Linked DNA regions of Diceros bicornis minor. The protein of the gene in region 3 binds, or shares a complex with, the protein of the main gene of each other region. Links are inferred from orthologs where the notes say so. Each region holds a gene or a part of one and is shown on either strand. Other genes may lie near its edges.

Region 1 (7,746 bases), on a different chromosome or scaffold from region 3:
AATGGATCCCCAAAACCTCAGTTGAGATTTCAGATAAGAGAACAGCTCCTGTTCACAGCTTGACTGCAACCTCTCAAGAGACCCTGAGCCAAAGGCACCTAGCTAAGCTATACCCCTGATTTCTAACCACAGAAACTATAAGATAATAGATGTTTATTAAGCCACTAGGTTTTGGGGTAGTTTGTTATTTTACAATAGATAATGATCTTGGAGAAAGGCATTCCAGGCAGAGGTTACAAGTAAGTGCAAAGGCCGACATGTGCCAGATGCACTTAAGGAATAGCAAAGAGGCTGATATGGCTGCTGTAGAGTGAGCAAGGGATAGAAGCAGAGATCAGGGAAGGTGGATGGGGTTGGGTCTGATTGTGACTGAGAAGCCACTACAGTTGTCTAGAACTCTCTCTCATGAGGGTATCCTATAAGACACATTAAGGCATAAAATATTAACAATTCTTTTTAGTTTTCTCTGTGATGCTTGCTTGTTAAGCCACATTGATCTCTAACAGGCTAAATTTCAGATAATTTCATACCATTTTTTTTGCACTAATATGGTCTGGCTTGGAAAATGAGAGAGGAAAAGGGGAAAAATAATAAACAATGGGCAAAAGAGTCACCTACTGAGGTCCTCTGAAGAATACTAAACCAACCCAGGTCTCAGCGGGATGAAACCCTAGACTCAATTGAGAGGAGGGTAAGGTATGATTAACAGGTCTAACTGCTACCAGATTTTGGACACCAGTATAGGACAGACAATGAGGCCATGGAGAAAACAGCTCAAAGCAAAGCAACATTACCTGCTTTCTTTCCCAACAAACAGATGGACAGATGTACTCAGCATCTGCATACACACGGTCAGGGAAGCTTAGACCTGAGATAATGACATTAGTCAAGACTTTGGTGTATCCATCTCTTAGTTTAATCCTTAAATCCTTACTCCAGAGTTACATTGTAGGCAACTTCCAAAATATTATCTGACTAGAGTATTTGGTAAACAGCCCCACTGTTGGCTGAAAAACTGGCCCTAAAGAACAAAATCTAAGAACCATCATTAGAGATGCCTAATCATGTTGCAGCCCTCTCAGAGGTAGGTGGCTTCATAGAAGGTGTTAAGACTTAGCTGAGCTTTAAAAAAATCACTCTAAAATGAGGTGCAAATAAACACTGTAGAAGAAGCTATATTAAATCTTCCTCTTAGAGGTTCTCTTGGTGCTAGGGACGAAGAAAATTCATAAAGACCAATTTTCTCAGTATAGACTGTATCACTATTTGGCATAAAATGAAGCCAGAGACCAAACTCAATTTCCTAATTTTCTTTTACAAGGTACCCAGAAAGGTGGTCATAACTTTATTTTCAAGAATTTGGTAAGGAATTGTAGTTTTCAGTTTGGAAAGTAATCCTGGACAAAGGACAATATGCTTTCAAGAATGAAGCACCCGGCAGTGGCTTAGTGGTTAAGTGCGCGTGCTCCGCTACTGGTGGCCGGGGGTTGGGATCCCAGGCGCGCACGGACGCACGGCTTCCCTGGCCATGCTGAGGCCGCATCCCACATACAGCAACTAGAAGGATGTGCAACTATGACATACAACTATCTACTGGGGCTTTGGGGATAAAAAGGAGGAGGATTGGCAATAAATGTTAGCTCAGAGCCAGTCTTCCTCAGCAAAAAGTGGAGGATTAGCATGGATGTTAGCTCAGGGCTGATCTTCCTCACAAAAAAGAAAAAAAAGAAAAAAAAGAATGCAGCACGGGATCATCACACCAATTACCCAATGAGTACAGAACCAAATTCTGAAGGAAATAAGTTGTCCTAGGACAAAGCACTGTTTACCCTACTCAGAGGTCAAAAGAAGATAGGTCTATTTTTATCCTTTCATAAAACCTCAGTTCCATAAAGAAGGAAGCACTGGCCTCCACAAATCCATTATCAGGAACAAAATATGATGATTGTTGATCAAGATAAAAGTGACCAACATATCTTTTCCAGAAAAGTTCTGAAATGAGTCTGATCACTATCAGCTGATTCATGAGGAAAAACAGAAGAAAAACCGGAAAGTGTCCTTGTTGGGGGCAGAGGCAGTAAAACCGCTCTCTCCCACCCCCTCACCCCCGTTACCTACATTGGAGGGAGCTCCCTGCACTTGGAATCAGGAGACCCTATTCCATTATGGCCTCTGTGAGGTGTGTTTTTTTTCTTTTTACTGTGAGACCATAGTGAAATCTGGACCCTCGGAACGTTTTTTCGAAATGCAAAGGACTTTGGCACCAGCATGTCACAGGTGGGGGAATTAAGGTGCAGAGAGGAGCAATGACTTGCCTAAACTCACAGCCCATGGCAGAACTAGAATTCAAACCCAGGTCCCTCACACTGTAAAAGCGCTCACTAACCACTCCGATTTCTCGCGAGTAAAGAGAGGAATAACGACGTCCACACAGCATTGCTTCCGAAAACTTGGAAGGCTCAGATGCGGGTCAAGCAGCTGAACATCACTTCCTAAAGCGCCACAGCGGCGTGGAAAATTATTTCCATCTAAGTGGAGATGAAGAGGCTGGGCTGCAGCCCCAGCCCCAGGAAGCCCCTCAGTCCTCCACGCCAGGCTCCCCCATCCAGACCCCACTCCACGCGCAGATGCCCGCGGGACCAGCGCGGCCCAGCCCCGGGACGGGGGAGGGGAGGGGGGCCGTGAAAGGAGGGGGCACGCGCGCCCCGCCCGGACTCACCTGTCACCCGGGCCGCGCCAGGGCGCACGCGCGGGGCCGGCGATCGTGCGCGGAGTCAGCGCCGGAGTCCCCGACCCTTCCCTCTCCGCTGGGGTCTTCTACCTCCAGCCCCGGATCGCAAGCCGGCCAGAACCCGGCTTCCGCCCCTGGCTCCCGGGGCCATCACATGACCACAGGGGAGGAGAGCAGAGCGGGGTGTCATGTGACCACTCGCGGGCAACGGCTGATGACGTCGGAGCCCGCGCTCGCAGTTTCAGCGACGGGGCAGGGAGTTAAGGAAGGAGTGGGGGTCCGGGTGTGGGGAGTCGGGGTGCAGCCAGACGGAGCTAGGTCGGGCAGCCAGGTAAGGCAGAGGCGGGGGCTGGCGATGGGGAGGGCGGCGGGAGGTGTCGCCTCCCTCTCGGGCGCTCCGCGGGTGCCTTGACCTGGGGTCTGTCGACCTGGGTTATGGTCCTGGTTCTTTTCACGCCAGAGCAGTGAGGCTGGGACAGTTCACCTCCCTCTCCGAGACGCCATCTGCCCATCCTTCAGCCCTAAACGTGTGGGGAAAAGATGACGAATTCTTGATCCAAATAAATCTGGTTTGGACTGTCTTTAAAAGCAGGGCCTTGGGCGTGTCGTTTAAATAAACTCTCTGGGCCTCCGTTTCCTTTTCTCGTATGTAAATGGCTGTGAGGATTAGCGACAATGAGAATGAAGCCCGGGGGCACCGGTTTATGGCACACCGTGGGAGATCTGGAAATGGTGGTTGCTGTTATTGTTGTGACTCTGGCCAGATCTTGACTGATCGTCTATTTTGTGTCAGGAGCTGTTTCAAATGCTGTAGAATATGTCCGAGTTCTAGTTTAAGTTGCTCCCAGGGTGAAGGAGTGGCAGACATGTGAGCAAAGAGTTGTGATGAGTTTTATTGAGTTTTTTAATAGAAGTGTGTGCGTGAGAGAGAAGGAGAGAGAGAGGGAGAGAGGAATAGTGGCAGCATAAGGGAGGGAACAAGCAATTGCTTATATAGATAAGGGAAGGCTTCATCAAGAAACATGTGTTCCTGCATCTTGAAAAAGGAGCTACAGCTCTGGCTGAACTTGTACGGACTCCCATGCCCACCAAGGAGGTGGGCATAGTGCCTATAAATTGGTTGCTCTGTGCCTACCACTGTGCTGTACAGACAGAGAAGAGGAGGGAACAGTAGAGAAGAAATGGTATTAGCCAATAATGGGTCCTGCCTGCAGAGAATCTTATAGACCTGCTATGGTCTGAATGTGTGTGCGCCTCCAATTCAGATGTTGAATCCTAATGCCAGTGTGATGGTATTAGGAGGCGGGGCCTTTGGGAGGTGCTTAGGTCATGAGGGTTGAGCTCTTGGGAATGGGATTAGTGCTTTTATGAAAGAGGCTGCAGAGAGCTCCCTTGATCCTTCTACCAAGTGAAGGCAAAGAGCAGAAGGCATGGGCTGTGAACCCATGCCTTGATCTTGGACTTATAGCCTTTAGATCTGTGAGAAACAGATTTCTGTTGTTTAAAAGCCACCCAGACTGTGGTATTTTATTACTGCAGCCTGGATGGCATAAGGCAAGGCCTGTTTACGGGAGGCAAAATAACATGCTAGGGAAAAACTGGGGAAATGCATAACCTTGTTTTAAACTTTGTTGGAGACCATAGGTACAGGGAACAAAAAGATCATTGATTGCCACCTGGGAAGGCTCCAAGAGGAGGCTGATTTAAACCAGAGTTTCTCAACTACTGCACTATTGATATTTCGGACCACATAATTCTTTGTTGTGAGGGCTGTCCTGTGACTTATGTACTTAGCTGTACTTTGTGGGAGAAATAGGGAAAAGTGTGTCTACTCCATCTTTGTGCCCCATCCATTCTCTTTGCTTCTTATCTGAATCGTTTCCGTTGATATACTCACAGAAGGCAGTGACCGTGTGTTCCCTAGCTCTCTGCAAGTATAAAGTTTCATTGGAGTAATGTGAATTATGAATTCAGATAATAAGGATAGCTACCATGTGGTAGACACTTTCCATTTATCCCAGATTGTATTAATCCTTGTGTACGTTGTGTCTTAGTCAGCTTGGGGAGAGACACAATCAGAGACACAAGATGAGATTTATGTGCTGGGCGTTGTTCTTAGTGTGTTGTTATCTATATTAACTCATTCAATCCTCACAGTAATCCTTGTGGTAGCCACTGGATCATCCTCCTTTTACAGAAGGGAGAAGTGAAGCGTTGAGAGGTTAGATAATTTGCCTAAAGTCTTTCAGCTACTTAAGTGGCAAAATCAGGCTTTGAACTCGGGTACTCTGGCTTCAGAGGCTGGGTGTTTAACCCCTACTCTGTATTGCCTTCATATTCTGCTCTGTAATGTAGCTAATGATGGTTCATGTTATCTTTAGGTAAAATTGATATTCCAGGAAACATATCCTGTTTATTCTGTGGCTTTGCCCCTTCTTGCTTACCCCATGGTTCATATATATGGTATACTTGGATAATTGTGTCTCTAGAACCGTGCTGACTAGTGCAGTAGCCACTAGGCACATGTGGCTATTCAGATTTAAATTGGTTAAAATTAAATAAAATTTAAAACTCAGTTCCTCAGTCATGATAACCACGTGTCTAGTGCCCTAGACAATTTAGACTTAAACTGGAATCAAGACTGACTAGAAAACTGAATACTTGAACCATATGATTTGATTCTTGCAGGATTGTGTTTTTTTGAGTAACAGTTGGTGCTGTAACAGGTAAGCCCCAAAACCTAAACGGCTTTGCACAATTGAAGTTTTTATTTCTTTCATGCGTGGAGCCTGATTGGCGGGCAGTTTTCCGCCAAGCAGTGATATAGGAACTAGGGATTCTCCATCTTCAGTATAGAGCATCTAAGGTCACTGTGCTTGCCTGTTCAAGCTATCAAATGGGAAAGAGTGTGGAGAAAGTTTATATAGACTGGGCCTGGAAATGGCTCATATTTCATTGCCTTGAATTCAGTCATATGGCCATAGCTAACTGCAAGGAAGGCTGCAAACTGTGGTCTAGCTGTATAACCAGATTGAAGAGGAAATGGGTTTGGTGGGCACCGAGCTGGTATCTACCCCAAGTGTCCTGTCTTTAGCTTACCCTGAGGAATAACCTAAGAAACAGTCCTAGGAAGCTCACTGTTGCATTTATTGTAAGGATATTATTGAGAATATTTTTCAGTATGAGTTTTATTGTCTTATATATGATGGTCCACACTGCCTTGATTGCCATGGAAAGCCTTATTTTTCCCAAGTTCCTGATGTACTTTTTCTTTATGGGGAAAGAGGATTCTGTAGCTTTCACTTTTTGCTTTGATTGTCAGGAAGCTCATAGCCAAATTTGTATTACACATGTAGTAAAAATTTTCTTCTTTACCTGTTTTCCCCTTTAGTTTGTTTTCCATCCTGATTTTCATGCATTTATATTATATATTTCCCATCTTACTGCATATATTTGTATTTATATTGTGTTAACTGTCTCAGCTTGTTTGGTGTAATAATGTGAGACTGTAAATAAATACTCTTTCACCAAAATGCAGATGTTCAAAAATCATCAATGGTTTCTCATTTGTATTCATAGTCATATTTTTTCTCTCTCTTTTGGTGTGGAATTTTAACATCACAGAAGGTCCCAGAAAATAACATAATGAGAACCCTGTTCTATCATCCGGATTTTAATATCTATAACATTTTGCCATGTTTGTTTCAGTTCTTGATTTTTAAGATAAATTTTTAAAAAACAGATAAAGCTAAAAGTCCCATTGACTGCCCCCCTGGACCCAACTGGACCGATTCTTTATCCTGCACTTAAGACCCTCTACGTTATGCTCCAAAACATTACTTACTGAATATTTGTTAACTGAATGATTTGAATTGAAGAAGAGTTGTATTGTGGATGTTTGTAATAGACTAAAACCTCAAAAATAGAGATCAGCATCATGGGCATCTTTTCTATGCCCTTCCCTTTGTATACCCTGTGTCTTTTTTAGAGTCTAATGATTGACATGGTAAGGCACTCAATACCTATTTGTTGAATGAATGAATGAATGAATCTAATTGAAAAGGGCCAATAGTTAAGAAACTACTGTAGTACTCCAGGTGTGAGATAAAAGTGGTGGCAATGGAGAGGATGGAAATGCCAGAGATACTAGACAGTTTCCCATGTTAGAAAGGAAGGGCAGGAGGGCAAGTCCATGCTAATTAATTGTGTACTGTGTGCTGGACCACATTGTGATATTCCTTCTCATTTTAGAGACAGTAAACCTGAGGTTCAGAGAGGTTTATGCAATCAGCCCATGGTCACTCAGTAGTAAAGTGACAGAGCCTGAATTCGTGCTCTGTCTATATGATTCTAAGAAAATACCTTCTTTCTGCTACCATACAGCTTTCCCATCCCTCTAAGCCTGTATAAATTCTCTCCACTTTTCTAGTTGGTTTCAGTGGATTGAATTTCAGGTGGTTTCTGAATTAGGCAAAGACATCTGTAGACAGCTTTCCATAAGTAGTCCAAAGGTTAAAGAATTGGTGGTTGAAGGTATAGATTAGGGAGTGTTTAATATGAAGATAAGAACTGAAACTGTTATAGTGGATCAGATATCAGAAGATAAGAGTTTATAGAGAAATTCTGCTTTTACTGAAACAGAATCGGGGATCTCACCAAGTCTGTAATCTATTAGAACCCAGAGGAATTGTCAGGAATAAATATTTTTTAGTTTTCAGAATTCAATATGTATATATGTTAGATAAATTAAAAATTACAGGTTTTCAGAATCCTCCCTTATTTAACTACGTTATTGTCACTACTTTCATTTTTTAGAAAAATGCATCATATGAGCAGTCTACCTTTTTTAACTCATTTATGTTTTAGGTTTTTAAGAACTGTGTCGTGGGGCCAGCCTGGTGGCTTGGCGGTTAAGTGCATGCGCTCTGATACTGGCGGCCCGGGTTCGGATCCCGGGCGCGCATGGACGCACCGCTTCCCTGGCCATGCTGAGGCTGCGTCCCACACACAGCAAC
Region 2 (7,746 bases), on a different chromosome or scaffold from region 3:
CAGCCAAGGAAAGCTCTGTTGCCATTTAATCAAAGTATTCTTTCATGAGAGACTAAGTGTTATTAGGTAGTCCTATCACATAATTTAACCAGGATGCATCTTTGTTATGTATGAGTGGACACAAGGGATTTTATTGCAAGCATTAAAATATCTGGACTGTTTTTCCTGCTATCTACCCACCAAAATAGTATCCCGGGCCCCTCGCCAACTACTTTGCTCGCCTGCTGCACACTGTCCCACATTCTTCCACTGGAAAAGGCAGCAAAGCTGCTCATATATGGTGGCTGCATGCTTTTATCATTGCTTTTCTTCCCGCAACGACCTTACCTGCTTTTTGCGCTAGGTTGCTGTCAGAAAATTTAAAACCTGTCTCTGGTTCTGCAAGAAATGCCAGTGAATGAAGAGGAGAATCCAGTAGAAGATAAAGATGATTAGAGCTTCTTGGCAGGCATTTGCTACCAAGGAGATGAAATAAAGCAATTAATTACTGAGAGACATCTAAAGAGCAATTGGTAGTAGGCATTTCTTTGTTCAATGCATCTGAAATCTTAGCTAGCTTAGCTTTTGCCTCAAAGAATTATTATTTTTTTTTCTTTTGGGTCTAGTAATAAAAGTATTAAGGTCATTAACATAAAGTGTTTGAAAATGTTTTTCTTTTTTTAGCCACTTGTCTTTATTACTTCACTGGCTGAAAAAAAGTCACGAAAGTCATATTCAGATCACACTGAATTTACTGAAAACTTGAATTGTATAACTGCTATAGCATGGTTTCACTGTGAAGTTAAAATTCCTTGAGAATATATTTTTATCTGCCAAGAAAGATTTCATTTTTGAAAGAAAATAACTTTAATAGCATCTTGATATATTTCTTTCCAGACTTTTTTCTGATTTTTGTGTGTACTTGTGTTTTACTGCAGTAAACATCTTTCTACATACAGCTTTGTATAGTCCTCAAGTATTTTCCTTAACATAAACCCCCTGGAAAGAAGCACATGGTTATCAACTACCCTGTCCCAGCCCTGTGCTAGGACTTGGCAAACCTATCTCACTTAGTCCCCTGAAGCCTGGATGAGTAATCTTGGAAACAGAAAGCAGTGTCAGTAGCTTTCTGGATGTCATACAGGTTTCTAATATAGGTCCATCTGACTCCCAGATCTTTACCTTTTCAAGGACACCATATCTACCTTTTCAAGGACACCATATCTATGTTCTCTCTGCAATCAGCAGATGGTTAGGAGCGGTCTCTGGAGGCAGACTGCCTTAGTTCAGATCAGATCTACCACTTACTTGCTGTAGGACCTCAAAACTGTTAACCTTCTTCTCTGTGCCTCAGTTTCTTCATTTATGAGAAGAGAAACAGTAAATGCACAGGCCTCATAGGGTTGTTGTGGGATTAAATGAAGTAATACATGAAGACCACTTAGAATAGGGTCTGACCCACTTACCTTTGAAATAATCAGTAGCTGTTGTTTATATTTATTATTGTTAGTGTTATTATTACCACCATCATCACAACAATTTTTCCTCAAACTCCATGGCTTCCTGTGTCAATCTAAGGTGGAGGTGGGTCTGGGTGACTTCTCCATGCAATGCCTAAACTTCATTCTAATACTGTTATTTTATGTCTGTATTTTCTCACCTGCATTCTTCTGGACACAGCAGAGAGAGGTGTTTCAATACGTAAAACTGGTATCTTTTCTCACTCATTTTGAGTATGACAATCTGCTATCTGGGTAAAAGATGCAGCTGATGGACACTGCTGATTTTCACACAGTGAGTCACAGGGGTAGCTTGACCTGTGGGGCTACTTGGTAATTTAAGTGAATACCTTAGCAAGAAAAAACACTGAAAAACCAGCCCAACTGTTGACAATGGCTTTCATCTTATTTTCCATTTTTGTTATCTCTTGGTTGCTGAGTTTTTTTTTTACTCGGGGTTCAACATTATCTTTCTGGAGGGACTTTTTGCAGAATTCTTGATCACAGGAGGTTTCTTTGAACTTGAGTCCAAATTTTAATTTGCAAGGAAACTGAAGCAGATGAATTTTCTTATTGTAAAAAAATGAATGCCTCCATGATATATTTGTTTTTCTTAGTAGGCTTCAGTCATTAAGATTGATGCTTGGGGATTTATTGTTAGATCTTGTGTGGAACAGAAAGTTATTACTCATAGTTTACCAGATTTTAGCATACTTGCATCACAACACGGCATATCATTTTACATTTAGTATTGCAGTCAGGGCCATTATCAGATTGCATTTTCATATTGAATTACAAACAAAAATTTTATGCTACTAACATTTAATGAAATTTTAATAACATTGTGTTTTGGTGCTATTATTCAAATAATGTGTTTTGAATTGCTTCCTTTGAATATATTTGCATTAAAGAGGAACTCAATTTGATTTGGTTCTTTGAAGAGTTTACCCACTTTCTGGGTAGCTTTAAAAAGACAGAGGGAAATTCAGTTTCTTCTTTACAAGTCAGTAAATAGAAAAGCAACACATTTGCTAAGATCTGTAAAAATAGTGGCAGCAGATTGCAGATGGTTTGAGTTAATGAAATGACTCACGTTGGCTATTAGAGTTGCACAATAAAAAATATATATACAAAGTGCACACATCACAGATTATGAGGGATGATACTCCTGGGTTCTCTTTTCTTTCTCATTGCGCCCTAAGGCTGATATATTAAGAATTAAGAAATTTAAGAGATTCACATTATTGCAATTCTTGATCAGTGATGCCCAAAATTAAATGGTAATCTCTTGAGAGAGCACATTTCTGTTTGTAGCATTCTTCTTACCCATTTCTGCTACAATCGTAGTTGTGGGCCCAAAGGCAGTTTACATGAGCATGTGCTTTCCAAAGACAGAATCATTTGACCAAGCAAAAACCCCTCACTGAAACGTTCTTTATGTGGCGGTTTTGTTGTAGTTGTCTAACTGATGGAGTTTAATGCATAGAATAGAAATACTGAAAGAGTGAAAAGATGGGAAAAGTCCTGCTTGCAAGGCAAGCTCTCCCTTTACCACATTCGTTTTTAATGGTCACTTAGAGGCATTAGAGAAAGTAACTGGTGGTAAACGCTTAAGAGCTTAAATTTAAGGGAGGGGAGGGAGTAGCGAAGGCAAAGCCAACTAGGAGTCCTCCAGGTCTTTCACTCTTTTTATGTCCAGTTTTGTGCAGAAAGAAATGATTCTGCTTCACTTTCACGCTCTCACCTTCCTCTTCACCTTTTTTCTCCCACAATTCATCCTGAGTTCCCTCCATCTAAAAATATTCCCGATTTTAAACTTCTTTAATACTCACTTTCTATAGTACCTGCCTGAGCCTGTGCGGTCCTGAACTCAGCCGCACACTCATTTAGGAGTTTTGGCTCCTGTTCTCTATTTGTAGGGTTTAGTAAGGACGCCACCTTTAATCTAATGTGACCCACAGGACTGCGCAGACACGCCTACTGCTTTCCGCCAACGCGCGGCGGCCGCCCCACTCCCCGACGCAACGCGTAGCCTCCGTGACGCAGCGCGCAGCCTCCGTGACGCAGCGCGCGCCCCCTCCGGCCCCGCCCAGGGCCGCCCCGACGTGCCGCGCGCCGACCCACAATCCCCGCCGTGCACTGTTCTCCCGCCGCCACCGTCCGTTAGGGCGAGCGCCCCGCCTGCGGAGTCGGCGCTGGCGCCAGGCTCCCGCCGCCGGTGACATGCTGCAGAAACCGAGGAGCCGGGGCCGCCCCAGCGCCCAGGCCGAGAGGGTGAGGGACGGGGGCCGCGGCGGAGACGGCCGGGCCCCGAGAGGCGGCGTCGCCGAGGAGGCCCCGAGCACCTCCCGCGGGGCGGGCGGCTCGCAGGAAGTCCGCAGCACCTCGTCGCAGGGCGCCCGCGGGGCCGAGGCCTCCCCCGCGGTGGGGCCCCGCTCGCAGAAGCAGCTGGAGCTGAAGGTGGCCGAGCTGGTGCAGTTCCTGCTGATTAAGGACCAGAAGAAGATCCCGATCAAGCGGACGGACATCCTGAAGCACGTCGTCGGGGACTACAAGGACATCTTCGCGGACCTCCTGAAACTGGCCGCGCAGCGCCTCGAGTACGTCTTCGGGTACAAGCTGGTGGAGCTGGAACCCAAGAGCAACTCCTACATCCTCATCAACACGCTGGAACCCGTGGAGGAGGATGCCGAGGTGAGAGGCGACCAGGGCACGCCCACCACCGGCCTGCTGATGATTGTGCTGGGGCTCATCTTCATGAAGGGCAACACCATCAAGGAGACCGAGGTCTGGGACTTCCTGCGTCGTCTAGGGGTGTACCCCACAAAGAAGCATTTGATTTTTGGGGACCCAAAGAAACTCATTACTGAAGACTTTGTGCGGCAGCGTTACCTGGAGTACCGGCGGATACCCCACACTGATCCTGTGGACTATGAATTCCAGTGGGGCCCGCGAACCAACCTGGAGACCAGCAAGATGAAAGTTCTTAAGTTTGTGGCCAAAGTCCATAATCAAGACCCCAGGGACTGGCCAGCGCAGTACTGTGAGGCTCTGGCAGATGAGGAGGCCAGGGCCAGGCCTGGGACCGGTGGCCCAGCCCCCTCCTCTTGAAATCTGAAATAGATTCACGGGGACTCCTGGGGGAAGGGTCAGAGGCACAGTGCGGAGGCCTGAGAGTTGGGGAGGGGGAGCATATTTCTCTAACGCTTAAATGTGTGTAGCTTTACGATGTGTTTGCAAACTTTTGTTCATATTGTAAATTATTTGGTTCCAAATTTTCACTTATAAAAATATTAGGGGAGGATTCATTTTGTTTTGATTTGTTTGACTGACTGTATTTTTTGGTATAAAAATTTTGCTAGCTTTATAAAATTAATTGGGAAACTTTGTACCATGATCTGGAACAGATATTTAAGAAAGAACACATCAGTAAATTGCTTTGGTGTCTAGAAAATAAAAGCGAAGTGGCTATTATCTGGCCTCTTAACTACCAACTACCCCAGTTTGTAAAGAAAAATAAAAATCTTTATAAATTAAAAATAAAGATGTAATTGCCTATATTCTTTTTTATCTTAGCATAGCTATTTTATATTTATGTACTTTATACGTATATATAAGCATTATGCCTTGTTCTAAGCAATGTATGGCATTTTCTCTGAATAACAATTTTTTTACATTCATAATTACTACTCAGCTCTGTGGCTGACTGTTTATTTCCATTTAGGTTTTTTTCTACTATAGTTACAGTAAATACTATATCTTTGAGGTAGTTAAGCATTCTGCATCTTTTAAATTGTGAGTCATGAGAAATTAGTTTCAGGATTCAAAACCAGCGTCTTGAAAAAAATGATTTTTGCCATGTATTATTAAGCTAAATAGTGTTTTATAGAAGTTACCTTACTTTTATATGTGTGTGTGCATATTGGATCATGATGTAAAATATATTTCTTACTTTGGGTTATAAAAAAGTTGAGAAAACTTTTATTGATTAATCATGCCTACTTGGAAATGAGACCACCTGGGTTCAGACCCTGGCCCCACGTAACTAGCTATATGAATTTTGGCGCGTTACTTAACTTGCATACAGACGTTTCCTCACCTGTAAAATGGGCTGATGATGCCTGTATTATGTGTAGTACTGTGATTATTAGATATGGAAGTATATGTAAAGTTCTTGGCACAGTGCCTGCTGTGGAGGATTTTAGGTGTTACTTTGTTCCTTAAAATTTTTTTAAATTTGTTTTTTATTCTCCTTGATCTGGAGTAGTTAATTTTGTTAAAGGATTTCTTTCATTATGTTGTTGTAAATCATTCCTACAATTGGAATTACTGGTTCAAAAATTATGACAATATTCTTCTAGTCTGCCTCTATTGTATGGGTTAATGGGGAAACATAACTCATGATACATGGTGAGTATAGCCCACATAAAATAGTAAGAGCAGGAAAGTTAGAGGACGATCTCCCCTGGGCTTTGAGAGGTCCTTGTAGTACAGTGAATAGGATACGGTTTTTGGGGTTGTCTGACAAACTGAATTATGGCTCAGAAATATGGCTATGTCAGCATGGTGATTTGGGGTAGGTTTTAAGCTCTCTGAATCTCAATTTCTTTATCTGTAAAATGGGAAAAATAATAACTATATGATAGTTTGTTATATGGATTAAATGAGCCCAAAGAAAAGAGCTTATTGTCTTCTCTCGTATTCTTCCACAGCCTCTGGCAAAATGCTGTTTATATACAGAGTTTCAACAAATAATTATTCAGTGGGTGAGTAAGTATAATTGTTTGGGGGGCAGGTACTGCAAATTAACCATGAAATGAGGTAAATACTTTAGCTCAAAAAAGAAGTGTGGACTTGGTCAACACTGGACTAGATGTCATCTAGAAGAGTCTATGGTGGGTGTGTGGTCCATGGAGGAATGTGATAGGTTACTGGGTTTTACGTCATTCTGTTGAATTGAAATTTGCATTTATTTCATCACTGGAGTATAGTGTGTCCTTGAATGTGTTTCTGGTTTGCTTTTTATTTCCACATATAAATTACCTTCTGGCTAAGCATCCTGCTTACTGGTCCCCTTACCTCACTGACTGCTTTTCCCTCTGGTGTGTTCTAATACTGGCCTTTTTTGCATCTGTATGGTGAAAGTTATCGGTACCCCGCACCCATTATCAGTTACATCTGAGGCACATATCTTCTGCCACACTTTTCTCATAAATATGTTAACAATTTACCATCAATGAATTATTACTTTGTTTTAGATTTTAAAATATAAAACATTACAGACCAGATCTTGCCCTTATCTTTTCTTCTCACCCTTACCAGAGATGTCGAAAGTTTGTGAATATCGTGCTATTGTATGATTTAATAACTTTTACTGTGTACCTGAACAATATAGAGTAGTGGTTTCTGAGCTTTTATAACTTATATAAGTAGTAGTATACCGTATCCTTTTGCAACTTGCTGTTTTCACTCACCATTGTTTTTGAGATTCAGCTCCGTAGATCTTATGAAAATTTGGCCTTTCCAGTCATTCTCTGGGTATGTAGTGATAATTTATTGTAGTATTAACTTGCACCTCTTGCTTACTAGAGACATTAAGCATCTTTTGCTTTTTTTTTTTTTGCCATCAGTTTTTATATGTTAGACTTTTAGACTTTTTCTGTTTTTATCGATTTGTAAGATTTCTTTATATGTTCTGCATGGTAATCATTATCTGCTATATCTAATGCAAATACCTTCTCACATTTTCACTTTTTCTTTTTTGTCTTACAGATTTGATTTTAATATGTCAAAATCATCAGTGTTTTAAGGGCTATGTTTTTTTGTGTAGTGCTTTAAAAAATTCTCCCTAATCCTAATATTTTAAAGATATTTTCTAATATTTTCTAGTATAAGTGTTCAAAATTTTGACTTTCATATTTATGTTTTTAATCTGTTTTTGTGTATGATGTGGGGTATGGATATAATTTTTGTATTTTTCCTATATGGATTACCTAGCACCCATTTTTCATAGTTTATCTTTTCCACCCTGATTTATAATAAGCTCTGTTATATAGCAATGTCTTATAAATAAATTTATGGCTAGGACAGAATTGGTTTATTTGCTATCCATTTGCTGATAACATGCTATTATAATTCTGTAGCATCATAATATAAGGTTTTTTTTCTGCTTTTTCAATTCTTATACCTTTTACTTTAGTCTTATCTTTTTTGCACTGGCTGGAACTGCAATACATTATTGGAAAAAAGTGGCGACAGCAGCCCTCAA
Region 3 (7,746 bases):
AAGTACCAAACAATAATACTCAAGTGAGCTCAAATCAAATAATTAAAAGTTCAAGGAAGTAGAGGTTCTTGCTACACTATCCTCCTCCAAGTAGAACCAGGGAAGTTGATTCTCCATGACCAATTAATTATCTAGATCTTCAGCTATTATGCACCTAAAATATCTAGAGCCAAGGTAATACTTAACATTTACTCTTATCAACTACTCTGGCAAATTACTTATGACAAACAGATTCCATTTCAAATGCCTCCCCCCCGGGGGCCTTCCCTTATCACTTTGAGGTAGCATCTCAACCATTATCCAAGCAGTTTTTCTACAGAGCAATCATCATTAATAGGAATATTGTTGACTCCCCCTCTGATAGGCTGAACAATGGTCCTCCAACATCGAAGTCCGAATCCCTAGAACTTGTGAATACACTACCCATAAAAGGGACTTTGGAGATGTGATTTAAGGACCTGGGGATGGGGAGATCTTCCGGGATTATCTCAGTGGGCCCAACTTAATCACAAGTATCCTTATAAGAGGGAGGCTTCATTACAGTAGAAAACGTGAAAACAGAAGAGGTTGCACTGTCAGCTTTGATAATGGAGGAAGAGACCGTGAATCAATGAATGCAGGCGGCCTCCAAAAACTGAAAAAGGCAAGAAAACAGGTTCTCCCCTCAGAGCCTCAACAGGGACCAGCCCTGCTGACACCTTGACTGTAGCCCAGAAAAACCGATTTGACTTCCAACCTCCAGAACAGTAAGATAATAGATTTGTGTTGTTTTAAGCCACTAAACAGTAATTGATAACAGCAGCAATAGGAAACTAATACACCCACTAAAATAAGAATTCCACGAGAGATGGGCAATTTTCTGTCCACCACTTTTCCCATCAGTGCCTAGAGCAGTTCCTGGCACAGTGGCACTGAGTAAATTAACAAAGTGCCAATTCCAAGTGCTCGGTATGGGATTCCCCAGAACAAAGGCAAGACTATGAGGAAGTCACATCCAGACTTAAAGGAAAGTAACTGAACTATGACACAGATGTCACCATGGAAGGAGGTGGCAGCATGGGCTTTCCGACCCTGACCCAGAAAGTGAGGCACTAACATGAGTGCTCACGATGAGCCAGACACTGTGCTAGATGTTTTACATCTACTATCCCACTTAATCCTCACAATAGTCTTCCAAGCAGATGTCATTCCCGTTTCAGAAATGATGATATAGCAGGCCTTAGAGATTAAGAAACTTCAAGAATTGAACCCACTGAAACACAAATCTCTTGCTTTTCTCACTACACCATACCCAGTAATTCACATTTCAAAGTACTTGTCACATACATTTCCTAATTTTATCCTTACTGTAAACTTAAGGGATAGGTATTATTCCCACTTAGCAAATCAAAAACCCAAGGTTTACAGGTTCAGTAATTTTCCCCAAGTCTCTAACTAGAATGTTAGAGAGTAAAGATCTGATCCCAGATCCTTTGATCAGAAAGTGGTTCTGTTATACAATAAAGTTCTAATTTAAAGAACTTTCCATAATATTCTCCTAAAATTCAGTTGATTTTATTGAACCTGTAAAATTTAAGCCACTCTAACTATATTAATAGGAAACCAGTAGATTTGCAGTTTGCTTCATATTTAATCTCTATAATTGAATTATCTATTGGTCAATTTTCCTTTTTTCTTCAAGGTTAGCAGTCGCTTTAATTTCAAGGTGATGAGACAACCCAGGTGTCATGACAACCAGTAAAAATAGAAACAAGAGATACTTGATTTATATTTTAACAGCTATAACTTTAGAGAAGACCTAAAAAACTACTGTCTCCACAAACCTCCAGATTATCTATTAATGCTTTTAATCATCACTAAGTTTCAAATATCCTAGTAAAGACACTAGGCATTTAACAGAGCAAGCTGGGGGTGAGTAAGGAACTGAGGCAACACCTTTTTGCTATCATTAAGAGTACTATTTCCTCAAACAGCAAACCTCTGGAAAACCCAAGGAACTCAGCTGGTAGAGACATGCTAAGTGAGGATCAGAGAAACCAAACGATGCTTCCATGACTGCTAAATCAAAGGGTGGTGGTAGACACCGCGAAGGTTAGCACTCCTTCACACGATAAAGGGGAAGGAACGACTAGGAAATAACTGGCCAAGTTTCATGAGAAATTTCTCTCTTTGCTAAAAACCTCCACTATTACTGGTGAAGAACCTTCCCCACACATATATAAGATCTCTCCTCTCAATCTTGATGTCATTCGTTCTGTCTTTGGATTTCCCTTCCCTTTACATCCCACTTGACTTAGCAGGAAAGTTTATCATTACTGCTATGCAAAACAGATACTTATCCACTTACCAGTTTAATGGTAAAAATCCACTCCTACCAACAATTAAGTTCCTAGAGGGATCAAGAAAAGAAGCTTCTAGGCATGCTCACTGCACCTTCGGAAACTGTTTTCTTAAAGATCCAAATTTTTGGCAGTAACCTCCAAATAAGGCTGTAATTTATACTCTTAAAACAACTGCAAGCAACAAAAAGAAAAAAAAGCCTTCATGGCTTTATATGAATTGAAGAACATTTGGATAAATTAGTCATATATTTCAGTTTAAACAGGGACGGTTTCCAGGCATTTAAAGCCCTATTAAGAAATGGAAAATCGAATGGAGAACAAATAGTCAAGGCTGTCACACAATGAAACATCACTGATTCTGAACAACACTCTGTGTACTAGCAGAAGCTACCAAGGGAAACAAGAAGCCAGCAAAGAAACTACCCAAGTAGATAAAGACTATAACTGGATGTCAAAAGATTTTGTTTGAAATAATCTGACAAAAATATTTTCTACCTCTGAGAATACTAAAATACGAGTTAATTCAATTTTTGCCCAGTTTAACATTGAAATGGAATAGTTTTCTTAAAAATCTTATGGTTCTCTGGTGCCATAACTTTTCCCAATTCCATACTCCCCTGCCTAGAACACCTCTCCTGTCTTTAACCAATTCCTACTCAGCTTTCAGCACTTAATTAACACCTCACCTACTACAGTAGAGACACACTACCTTTGTTGAGTTCCATCACGAGAAATTATTTAGACTATAGATATCCACTCATTAATCTTACTGACTCCTCTTTGTAAAGAAGTATATGGCATCTAAATTTTTTTTACACTCAACATTGCAGATTCACTGCCCTATGGTTAGTCTTTCTTGACCATTTTTTTCACTCACTCTTCCCCCAACCTGGTTAGGAGCCCCATATGGGATTCCCTTGGTTCCCTATAAAAGAGGAAGCAATGTAATATCACAGAACATCCTAAGTGATTTTTTGGCAAATTACCAAATACTTTGTAATTTATGAAATTCAGAATGGATTTTTATTAAGTCTTAAAAGGCATTCAAAAAATTTTTCTCATGAACATGCCAGTGCATTTTTTTAATAACAGAAGACCAAACTACCAAGAAAAATACACTGCACAGTAAAATAATTTCTGACGTTCTTGAAAATACTTTTTCACTTTCCAAGAGATACAATATGTGCTTCTGTTCAGATTTTACTCTTCATTTTGAAATACATTAGAAAAGCCAGAAAACGCATCCTATACTAAGAACAAAAATCTTTAGTATGAGTTTGTGATCATAGCCTCTGAAATTTCAAAAGTTGCCACAATATTTTTCCAGTCCTGTAAACTCAAAGATATAACTCCTTGTTTCCTGCCATGGGAACTGGGATCATTTCCCTCACCCATTTGGTTAATATTAATTGGCTCTAATATTGGCAGCCTGTCTTGGTCAAGCCTTATTCTTGCAAAACCATCCCTTATAATGAAAGAAACATAAAATATATTCTCCACAGTACGAGAAAAAGAGTTTGGATCAACCACAAATTCAAAATAGGACACAGGAGTATCAGGATACTTTCGAAAGTACATTTGCAACAATCCCAAGATTCTTTCCACTTCTTTTTCTGTCGCTTCTTGATTACCATTCAGGTCCAACTTCCTCAGCTTTGTAGGCATATCCCCGTTTTCTTCCATTTTGTGAACTTTTTTCTGGTGGTCAAGCCGGGGCTTTGGTGCAGAAGGCTCTGACTTGAACGAACCAAAAATAAAGTGGAATGTTTCAGCTCGCACTATCCAGGATGTTGCTTCCTTTTGTACTGTCTCCCAGAAGGAAAGAGCTATATTATCATCACAGCCACCCAACTCATCATGTTCATCCTCTTCCATCCAGTTTAGACCCACAAATATAAACAGAAAGTCACAAAACGCTACTTGATTAAAAAAGCTCGTATTAGAGTTTAGCTGCTTTGCTTTTTCTTTACCCAAATCAGAAGCCAAAACAAGAAACTGGGCATCGAGGGCTGCTTCCCTTGTTCGGCTCACTCCATCAAACAGGACATTGGCTTCCTCAAGAGCCTCGGTTAATGAGTTGCTCGCTCTGTTCACTATGTCATCACGATTCTGCTGCACGTTATAGATGAGCTGCCGGTACTGCTTGCGGATATTCCGGCATTTCTCCTCGTCAGCCTCGAGCCCTAGGAGGTTTGGTTTTATGGCGGCATCCCCACAGCCGAGGTCGTCAGAGCAGCAATCAGGCCCCAGCGCTTCCACCTTCATCGGTTCTCCGTCCTCCTCCGCCTGCTTCACAGAGTACGCGCTACCAGTGATGCTCACCACCGGCTCCTCTTTTTTCTCCACGCCCTCCTTCAGAGAGTCTTTCTCATCAAACATGTCGACAACTGCTGATGCTCAGCTAACGGCTTTCGCTACGTTTCCCACAACAGCAGAAAGTGAGGAGGTCAGTTAGAGCGGAGGGCGTCCGCCCATGCGCACTGGCGGCGCGGCCCGGAGGCCCGCCCCTGCTCCCGCCCCCGCTCCCGCCCCCAGCTCGCTCCACCTCCCGCCGGCTGCCGCCCGCTGCGCCGCAGACCCCAGGCCCCGCGTTCGCGAACGAGCCCGCGGCCGCGCACAGAACGCGCGCAATAATGGGTCCCAACGCCGAGTATCCGTTCAAGCAACAGCTATTATTTTAGCGTTTACGAACAGTGTCATGTAGCTTTCAAAGAAACAGATGGACAACGTTATGACAAAATTGCGGGGAGACTAAAGGTCCTGCGCTCTAAAACATTCGCTGTCATCTTGCCACTAGGTCGACCTCCATTTTTCGTTCTTAATATGATTAAAAGGTGGGGTGTCTTTTTGTTTTTGTTTTTTTGAGAACTAAATCTGGCTAGATTACAAACTGCCCGTAAAGCCAAGGACTGTGAAACGCAGAACCTCCATTACAAATCGGCCGAACTCGCAGGGTTCATTTGCAAGGTGGTTGTTTGGAACTCATTCTTCAATATACAAATGCACACTTACCTTCGGGGGCCCTCAAAAGCCAAATCCCCTCCAAACTACCCCATAGTGGGAGGGAGGGCCCGTCTTGGGGATGCGTCTCTTCCAGCGCATGTGCGAAGGGTGGGGCGTATTATTCAAGTGATCTTTGGTTCTCCACCACTCAAGGATGGAATAAACTGGGTACGGTTTCTGCAAAAGAGCTGTCTATTTGGAAGCTTCCCAACGGCTAAAGGCCAAAGACTAAATGGATAGTAAATCCGAACCCTAAAAGGTGAGCAAAGCTATGAAGATTTTAAACACAAATCTGTTCTAAGGAATATGAAAGCGAATAAGGATGTATAAATCAGGTAACTAATCTAGGTTGGAAAATGCACCCACTACCTAGTTCATTGGAAATTCACCCACTACCTAGTTCACTGAAAATTCTTGTACAGTTGGAGAAAGGGGTCAGCTGATCAGTCACACAAGTAGCAAAGTATATGTAACAATGGAAAGGAATACATTTTGTTTTTAACGAGAGGCACACTCTGAACCCACAAGATCAAAAGCTTTTAACCACTGCAACAGGTGCCCCTGTGACAGAGACAGAGAGACAAGAGACGGCAAAACTGCACCTGTCAACTCGAGTTTCCCCTTCCCTTCCTTGCTATGCATGTAGACTGTTCATTATTCTCTGACATTAGCAGAAAGCTTTTCACAAATGCATGAACAGCAAAACAGTATTAAGTCACTCCAAAATATTTACATTACTAGTCGTCCACCATTTTTTTTTAAGTAGGGGTAATTCAGGAAGAAACATACATTTTTCAAAAACACCATGCACTATGGTTACTTGTACATAGATATTATCCTGCCTATTAGACTGTTAGCTTCTCTACAGCAAGAACTTGGTTTTAAATATTCCAAGCAAAGCTGTTTTCACATGGAGGCATTTGAGTATGCATATTTGAATGTATAAATGAATGTAGATGAAAAACTTTGTCCCAGCACCTATTGCAAGTTATTTGGCAGCAAAAGATTAATTTCATAGATTAGTGGAAGAAATAGATCCTACAATCGAAAATAAAAGTTAACTGCTTTTCAGAAAGTCAGCCTTATCCCTTCTCTGAAATAAAGAAAAAGCAGGAGGAAAACAAAGTTGGGACCCAGGATCATCAAAGGGCCATATTTTCCCTCCAAGTCTGGCCAACTACAAACTAATATTTAAACCTGTTTTAAATCTTGGATGAAAATACACAGTTAATTCTAAGTCCCAAATCCAAAAAAGTTTGCTTTTATAATTAACCATATTCTTGGGAGCTTCTAATATCCACTTCATATTCAATAAAAGCAATTTATAAAAGAACTTTAAAAGACAAGCCAACCTTCCCACCCTAAGGTACTTATTTTCTCCTGGCTCAGAGAAAGGAAAACAGGCTGATACCAATTTGCTCCATACAGACCCTTTCATCTAAGGATTTCAAAATGCTTTAGAAAAATAAATTAATTCTCCCAACCTACTTATAAAGTATTACTAATGCCATTTACAGGGATTTCTCAGGTGATAATGGCCTACACAACTTGCTCAGAGCAACAGAACACATCAAGACAAGCATCATATTTCTAAATTGCAATTTCCAGCGCTGAATTCATTCTATGCTAGATCCCTGTCCCTAAGAACCTTAGTAACATGTAACTTAGATCGTCCTCAGAAAGTCATGCATGCACTGTATTTTGCCTTTTAAAATCTGCCTTTAGAGCACAAGGTTTAGATGTCGCTGCAAAGCAAAAATCTCAAGTCTAATGATTTTCCCCAATCATTTAAAGAATGAGATTTCTACACTTATGAATCCTTTAATCACTAAACAGAGATGTTATAACCTAAGGTCCAATTACTAGTAATAATTATATAAATGCAGCTTAAAAAGAAGGAATATTTATATAATGTTAGAAACCAATGTGACCTCAATAAAAAAAGAAGGAACAGCAATACAGAATTTCGGTTATACTGGTAAACTTCTCTATGACTTGTTACAGAAAGCAAAGTGTACTACTTCTTCAAAGAAATCACTAAGATGTACCTTCATGCAGTAAGACTAGTTCAGGTAACCAAGATATACAGCTTGGCCTTCAAGATAATTTAGCTCCTCTCCTCCCCTTTTTTCCTCTTTCAGGAGTTGTTGCCAAGGGCTCAGTATGGTCCTCCATTTCTTCTCTTCTGTTCTTCAGTTTTTTCTCCTATGTTATTTTTCAGTCCCTTTGCTAAGAGTTCAGATTCATTCATTCCAAGCATTCTTAAGCTCTTTCCCATAACCCCTAGTGCTCACCACAAACATGGTGGGATGGGTGTCGTAAGTTACAAGTCTCTGTATGGTCAAATAAAAAAAGAATTCACATAGGGTCCACTATCTTTTCCAGCAGGGTTTTAACTGCA

Evidence for each region.
Region 1: EID3 (region 3) and NSMCE2 share a complex: the UniProt entries of both Homo sapiens proteins name them as parts of the SMC5-SMC6 complex. The link is inferred for Diceros bicornis minor from reciprocal best matches to the Homo sapiens genes EID3 and NSMCE2.
Region 2: EID3 (region 3) and NSMCE3 share a complex: the UniProt entries of both Homo sapiens proteins name them as parts of the SMC5-SMC6 complex. The link is inferred for Diceros bicornis minor from reciprocal best matches to the Homo sapiens genes EID3 and NSMCE3.

Annotation. Positions count from the first base shown.
Region 1 is NC_080760.1:40,396,593-40,404,338, forward strand, and holds the start of NSMCE2 (E3 SUMO-protein ligase NSE2), read left to right. Parts: upstream 1-2,983; 5' UTR 2,984-3,062; intron 3,063-7,746. UniProt on the Homo sapiens protein: E3 SUMO-protein ligase component of the SMC5-SMC6 complex, a complex involved in DNA double-strand break repair by homologous recombination. Is not be required for the stability of the complex.
Region 2 is NC_080744.1:79,173,797-79,181,542, reverse strand, and holds NSMCE3 (non-structural maintenance of chromosomes element 3 homolog), read left to right. Parts: upstream 1-3,607; 5' UTR 3,608-3,701; coding exon 3,702-4,589; 3' UTR 4,590-7,326; downstream 7,327-7,746. UniProt on the Homo sapiens protein: Component of the SMC5-SMC6 complex, a complex involved in repair of DNA double-strand breaks by homologous recombination. The complex may promote sister chromatid homologous recombination by recruiting the SMC1-SMC3 cohesin complex to double-strand breaks.
Region 3 is NC_080764.1:19,517,242-19,524,987, forward strand, and holds the start of EID3 (EP300-interacting inhibitor of differentiation 3), read right to left. Parts: upstream 4,816-7,746; 5' UTR 4,722-4,815; coding exon 3,609-4,721; 3' UTR 1-3,608. UniProt on the Homo sapiens protein: Tissue-specific component of the SMC5-SMC6 complex, a complex involved in repair of DNA double-strand breaks by homologous recombination.